Callithrix jacchus: one gene and its partner. The protein of the gene in region 1 interacts with the protein of each later gene in a pairwise test. Links are inferred from orthologs where the notes say so. Each region holds a gene or a part of one and is shown in the gene's direction. Other genes may lie near its edges.

What was found. The genes of interacting proteins can lie anywhere in the genome.
Region 2: the proteins of LNX1 (region 1) and C1QTNF1 interact in a two-hybrid assay, tested with the Homo sapiens proteins (2 studies listed by BioGRID and IntAct). The two-hybrid records come from large-scale screens. The link is inferred for Callithrix jacchus from reciprocal best matches to the Homo sapiens genes LNX1 and C1QTNF1.

The regions. Positions count from the first base shown.
Region 1 is NC_133504.1:143,048,374-143,052,121, forward strand, and holds the start of LNX1 (E3 ubiquitin-protein ligase LNX), read left to right. Parts: upstream 1-1,390; 5' UTR 1,391-1,694; intron 1,695-3,748.
Region 2 is NC_133506.1:134,764,486-134,768,233, forward strand, and holds the start of C1QTNF1 (complement C1q tumor necrosis factor-related protein 1), read left to right. Parts: upstream 1-1,594; 5' UTR 1,595-1,908; intron 1,909-3,748.

The DNA.
Region 1 (3,748 bases):
TAGCTCTCTTTCAAAGGAAAGGTTAGGAGTAGAGCCAAATTGAAAGTAAAGATTAGGGGTAGAGTAAATATGAGTGAGAAGTGTGACCTTAGGACCAAAAATACATGTGCTGGCTTCATCTCACCAGGCAGAAGTTTCCAGGCTGGTCATTTTGCCTCCTTCATTCCCTGGATTATTGATTAAAAGAAACTTGCAGCAGTTTGACTCTGAAAGTCAAAAGGACAAAGTAGCAATCAGGCCATGACCGAAATGCACACAGAGGCCAAGGGACTTGCAGAGCACTTCCTTGTTTGTAAATCAGAGTCACAGTGGAGAGCTGAAGGCACTGCAGCCAGTAGCACCACCTGTGATTACGGGGCCACAAGTACCTGAACTCTCTGTGTCCTTCTTGCATGATGCATATACATAAGGTAACACCAAGGACTCGACTCACATCTCTGGAAGGAGACTACTTAACTCACTAATTATTTATGTTTCTATTTAGAATCTGATACCCAGAGCTAATCACTTATTTAAGCAAAATCTTTGGTCCTTACTGGAGCTGTCAGCCCACATTAGTGCTTAGGTCAACTGGTGGGAAAAGCAAAGCTCAGAAAAGCCCACTTCTGGAATCACAATGTTTACATTTTTAATTAGCTGGGTCACTCTGCAGGAATGACTTAGTCTCTCTAATCCTCAGTTTCTTTATCTGTATAATGGGAGTGATAATGATAGGATTCTGTTGAGAATTAAATGAAATAATGCAGGTCGGGTGATTACTATAGAATCTGGTAGACAGTAAGCACTTAATAAATGTTAGCAAAGATGTTGCAGCCGCTGACGATGGTGATGATGGTGATGATGCTGAAGAATGAGCAGAAGAAATACTTATTTAAACAATAATTCTATATCTTTGGAGTTAAAAGTCTTAAATAGTATCAGCCACAAACATGCCCATTCCTTTTTTTTTGTCTACAAACATTAGGCAATGTTCAGTTATGAGCAATACTGCCTATGGAAAATCTTTGAAAGTTTTGGCAAGGTATTAGAACAAGTCAGAACTACTTATTTGCCTGATACTGATTTTGGTGCATGCCCCTTTACTTATTGAAAAATAAAAGATGCCCAGGATTCTAGGGCCTGTCCAGTCAGCAGCCCCTGCCTATTAAGGAGTTGGTCCCAGCATGATAATGTTCCAGACCTACTGATGGCCTGAAGGTGTGGTGACCCTGTGTTTATTTCCTTGTTGATTTCCCTTCTCTGGCTCCAAGATCATTTTCCCATTGCCCGCAGGAAACAACATCTAGGGGAGAGGTAGGCCTGACTTGGCAACCCTAAAGGTGAACAAAAGGATCTTGACTTTTGGCAAGAGCAGAAGGAAGTTCAGGGGTGTCTCAGCCCCATCCAAACCAGACAGATTTGTCACTGATGGTAATGCATGCTGCTCTGCGGGAGACTGCTCTTCCTTGAATCTCCCCATAGCTGCTGTCAGATTTATGGATCTCTTCTACCCAAAGCCTTGCAGAAGGGGCAGGAGATGCCCTGGTTAACCCCTGCATGGAAAAAGGCGGAGCAGTTTTTATACACAGCTGGGGCACAGAACACTGGAAAGAGAAAGAAAAGTTTTCTGAGCTACTGCTAAGCCAGAAAAGCTCAGCTCTCAAAAGAACTATCTCCTGAGACCTCACACAGCTGGGAGACCTCATACAGCAAAGGTAAGATAGCCTTGTCCCTCCACCAGCTAGAATCTCATGCAGTTTTTTAAAACAACTCCACCTCTGCCCACTCGGCCTCCAACTCTCCCCTCTCTCTGTCTCTCTCTCTCTCTTTCTCTCTCTCTCTCTCTCTCTCTCTCTCTCTCTCTCTCTCTCTCTCTCTCACACACACACACACACACACACACACACACACGCATCAAATTGAAGAGAGTCTAAAAGATGGAAAATATCCAGGGGTGTCTTTTTCAAAACACTAGAAAGACCTCAGGACATTTGCTCTCTTTATACCTATTTTCCTGCAGTGGTCTTCATTAAAAGCTTCTTTACTTTCACAGATGAAAATGACTTGCCAGACAGGTCAGTGAAACCGTGAGGAATCCCACTAGCAGTAACTGGATTTACATGACATTATTCTTCATCAGTATTTAAAACACATCACACACAGACTTCATTTCACTCCGCAGTAGGAGTAGGTATTGCACTGCAGTTTTACCTACAGATAAAGAGGTTCAGAGAGCTGTGACCTGCCCACGGGTGTGTCGGGCTGGGGTGCCCGGCAGCACACCCTGTGCCCACTCCCGCCTCTCTTCTATAGAATGGCGACCTTACTCTTTAAACAAAATTCCAGACTACATTCTTGGCCATGTATTCTGACAAATGGTCTGATGAGAGGATGGAATTTTAGAAATTGAACTCTTCTGGAAAATCCAGAAATAGATAACCACAGTATCCTGTACAATATACCACTTTGTCATGTATCCCTGTTTACTTCCATTCCTGGGCATTGAATTCAGTTCAACAAATGTCGACAAACTATGTTCCCTGCTCCAACACTGACTGGGTCATATGTCAGGGTGCGATGCAAGCCCTGTGCCCAAGGAGAACTGAGGCAGCAGTTCAGACCAGGATGGGGAGCTCCCCTAAAGAGGTGAGCTTCAAACGAGCTCAGCATAAAGTGTGGACTTGGATTGAGGGAGAGTGTTTAGAAACACAAGTCCCTGGGAGGAATCTGTTGAGTGACCATTTACTTACACCTAGTCCATGGTGGCAGAGCTGAGGGGTGAGGAGCACAGTCTGAGGAATTAGACCGTCTGGCCTTGACTCTTGGTTCTACCTCTCACTAGCTCTACATCTTGGCGTACCTCGGTTAACCCCTCTAACCTCACCTTGCCAATATGTGAAATGGGAATGATGGTAATATGTCCCTCATAGGGTTGTCTTCAGCTGTAAATGAGATTATGCATGTGAAGTCTTTGCTGATGCATAATAAGTGCACAGTAAATATTAATACTAACTATCGTGATGGCCATGTGCCTGGTTCCAAGGGAGATGCAGGGAATACAGATAAGAGGAGGCCTACCCTCCATGTAACCAAAACCTCATGAGTTAGTTGTGTGCAACTAGTGCCATGTGGTGTGATGCATGCTCTGAGACTATGGGGGTGGAATCTTCTAAGTCTATGTGAGTTCCAGTTGGGGTTCTAGGGGACAGCGAAGGGGGCAGAGGTTTCACAGCAGAGGGCCTATGTGTAGGGCCTTAGTAAAGAATGGTGAAAAGAGCTAGACAGGTCTAATTCTGATTCCCAGCTTCCTCCTCTATTTATGTATCTATTTATTTCTATATTAATCCATATGTATTGAAAACCATAAATTCACACTTCCAACACCACAGAGTTTTCTCCCTTTCTGAATTTGTAACTGCCGTCATTAACATTGATCAGAGGCTGGCTCCCATTATCCTTAATATATTATTTGTTTATTTGTTCGGTCCCCCAAATATCACCAACTGCCATCATGACCAGTGTCCCCTGCCCCATTCAGATGCCCTCCGCACCCTGCTTAGGCCCTGATGCTTTGTTCTGGGCCTCCCTGAGCTGGCTCCTGGAATTCTGGAGCTACGATATGTCCTCCACACCCCGCACAGGTGCCTACTTTGCTCAGCCACGTGTAATATTTTTAAAGACTGTGACCTGCGCTGTGCATGTGTGTATGTACCTGTGTTGTCACTGTCTTTGATGGGGAACAGAGCTTTCTCCTTCGTATAGGCAGGGC
Region 2 (3,748 bases), on another chromosome or scaffold:
GTCACTTACAGGAATGGAGACAAGCTTATCTGTGGCTTTTCCTGTATCAATAAGCAACCAGGGATGTAGGTTTTGCCAAGCCTCAGACATGTATGCCAAGAACACAGGCGAGCCCTGATCTCCTAAGCCTCGCAGAGGCCCTGTCTCTAGTTGGTTAAGTAGTGTTGACTTCATGTTGCCATCGTGTCCTCTGAGTTCCCCCTGAGTGCCAGAGGCCTGGCAGCCTTTCTCCCTGTACTCACAGGAAGGGCTGGCACACGCAGCCAGGGCCTCTGTGGAGTGGCTGTTGGGCGGCTCACCTGCCCGGAGGCGTCCCCTTCTGTTCTCATCCATTCATCCTCATGTCTACCCGAGTGCTGGCCTCACCCCGCCTGGGGCAAGGCAGCTGGCATCGAGCATGCACCCTCTTCTTCCTCTCCTCTGATTCTTTTCATCTGTCCCGTTGTTGGTGCAGCGGATGGGAGCACATTCCAGGCAGGGAAAGGTAAAGCCTCTAGCGCTCTGAATGTCCCAACCAGCATCCCTGTTTTCATATTTCCTGTTTAGATGTAGCCAGAGACAGGCCCTCACAGGAGTGATGACAAAACCAAAAAACCCAGGTACAGCATCGAGTCGAAGGGCAGATCAGAGAGAACAGGGCAGCAGGGCTGAAAAGAAGCAAAAAGAAAGTGGGGAACGCTGCTATCATCAGAGCAGACTTCCCATCTCTGGCCAGATCCTCCCCTGCTAGTGATATGGTAATTTTCCAGAGAGAGCTGGGCTGATGCAGAGTCGGAGGATAGAGACTGGGCCCCAAACAGGGCCGGCTCTGGAGAAGCCCGGATTAGGGATCCGGATTGGAGGGCGGCCTACGGGGATGGTTCAGAAAAAATGTTTGTGTATGATTGAGAAAATGTCAGGTCTTCACATCAAGGAATGAGAGGCCTGATAGAGATGGAGGAATGCTTCCATCACCGTGGGTCCACTCCTAACCATTAGATCACAGAGCTCTCAAGACCCTGAACAAAACAGCACAGTGGACCATCGTCTTCCAAAGATGTGTGTGCGTGCACACTCACACACACATGCACACACACGCGCGCGCTCACGCACACATATCGCACACACACGCACAGACACACGCACACATTCGCACACACGCACACGCACACACACACATACACACACGGGCGCACACACACACTTTGGCATTTTTTTGTAGGGTGCTCACAGATTCCCCCAAATCTCTGAGTCCCGGATGATGTGCGGGGTGTCTCAGGTCTGACACTGAAGACCTGACCCCTTGGGGTTGGCTGCAGGGGATCCCCAGGCCTTGGAGCCCACCCCCTGCTACCAAGTGACTGGGGGTGCTCTGCCCTGTGGGCACCCCCGTCCTGCGCGGGGCATCCTCGCCCGGGATCGCACCCCCTCCACCTCTGCACAGCCCTCCGGATGCACGGAAGCGGCCCTCCCCACTGCCAGCCTGGCGCGATCCCCAGGGGCGGGAGGAGGCGGCCGCCGGCGTTCCTCGGGGCGGCGGGGCACACACAGTTAATCCTCCGCGGCTGCTGTTTGGGCGGAAAGCGCTGGGAGTGTTGGCGGCTCCTCGCGGCTCACATCTGGCTGGGCTTCGCTCCGTGCGCGTCTTCCCACTTTCTGCGTCTCTTCCTTTACTTTCGAGAAACCGTGCTTCCGCTTCTGGTCACAGGGACCTCGGAGCCTGGGTGGCGGACCAGAGGTGCTGGGGGGACCCGCGGCTGCTCGCACCGCCCCCACCCTCATTCTGTGCACCGTCGGCCTCGAGGACTGGTCTCCCCGCTCTGTCTCCTTCGGCGGGTCTGCGCGTCTCCCCGAACCCGGTGGGGAGGAGGCTCGGCCTCCGGGAGATGCTCTAAGGGCGGCGCGGGAGGAGCGGCCGGCGGGACGGAGGTAGGTGGCCCAGCCGCAGGGACCCGGCGCCACCCCGCCCCTGTCCTCGTGGCTTCAGCCCGGTGGCCAGGGCGGGGCGGGCAGACACCTGGGCCGGGAGGGCCGGTGGGAGCGGTGGAGGCGCAGGGGCAGAGGGACCCCAGATTTGGGGGAAGCCCTGGCGCCCAGCCCTGGCTCAGCCACCCGCATAGGCGCCTCTGTGCGGAGTCGCTGTCCTGGGGCTCCCTGCCTGCGGAGGAGCCGGACTCTTCTGCACATGGATACTGTCGGGAGCCATCGCACCTTCCCCCCAGCTTTTTGTGGGGGGTTTATCTTGCTTCACTCTTCTCTGGTGCGTTTCTGAGGGTGTGGAAGAGGAGTGGTACTAATGCCCACGGCCGCACCTGGCGGGGATGCCCTCACCCCTCCCCAGTCTCACCGGGACCACCTGACCGCCGGGTCTGCCAGGCCCATCTGTGGCCAACCTGGGTCCTTCATGGAATAGGAAGGCTGACTTTGGTCCCCGAGTCTGACAGCCTTGGTGTCCTGGAGGGGGCCCAGCTTGGGAGGGAAAAAACAATGTTGCTTCCCCAGGGCCCTCCTGGGAAGCGAAGCTCTTGGTGCCCGTGCCGCTGGGAGAGGTCCCTGGCCTGGGGCTGGAGCCTCTGAGCCACCTGGGTGCTTCTGGACCGCACCTGTCGACCTACTGCCCACCACTCAGCCCTCCAGGCTTCTCCGCGGGTGCAGGTGTGGTCCCCACCCTTAGCCCGGGTCACCCTCTTCCAGCCCCAGAAAGCCAGATTCTCTTCTATGGACCCTCCATCGGCTTCAGGCACCTTTGGGCCAACTACTCCCTGCTTGGGAGGGAGGGAGGAAGCCGCCCCTCTGTGAGGTGTTCCTGACTCTGCTGCCCCACCTAGTTTCTAGGAAAGGAGGCAGCACGACATGCTGGGAGCTTTCTCATCCTGAGCTTTGAACATGAGAAATGCCATGAGAAACTGTTCTCTCCACTGCTGGTCACTTCACGGCCCCAGGGGAGCATGTGACGTCCTCACAGGCTGCCCAGCCTCTGCTTTTTATAGTGCGAGAAAGTACCGCTCCCCGGCAGGCAGTGGAGCCATGAGCAGCTGCAGATGGAGGCACTGGCTGTTGTGTGTGATCAGGAGACCTGTCCAGTACCCGCCAACCAGGGAGGAGGGAACCAACACAAGGGAGATGGGAGCCGAGGGCTGAGGACAAGCAGAAGTTTCCCCACCCTCCCTCTTAGACCTGTAGAGCTGGAGAGACCCTTAGAGACAGCTCAGCAACAGTGGCAGCCATCAGCGTCATCATCATGTGAGCCACAGATTTGTGTGTCTGCTTCTCACATGGCAGGTGCTGAACGTTATATTAATAATTATTATAATTGTTAATTCGCAACAGTTCTATCAAGGGAACTCTCACTTGTGGAAAGAACAGAGCTGCAAAGCTCAAGAGGCTCACGGCTTGCCTGAGGTCCCAGAGACAGGGATGTAGGACTCAAGACTCTGATCTGTGTCTTTAGCCCAAGGGCATATGCTTTTCTTTTTTTTTTTTGAGATGGAGTTTCGCTCTTGTTTCCCAGGCTAGCGTGCAATGGCAAGATCTTGGCTCACTGTAACCTCTGCCTCCAGGTTCAAGCAATTCTCCTGCCTCAGTCTCCCAAGTAGCTGGGATTATAGGCGCACGCCACCACGCCTGGCTAATTTTGTATTTTTAGTAGAAACTGGGTTTCACCATGTTGGTTAGGCTGGTCTCAAACTCCTAACCTCAAGTGATCCACTCGCGTCAACCTCCTAAAGTGCTGGGATTACAGGTGTGAGCCATCGCGCCCAGCCTCCAG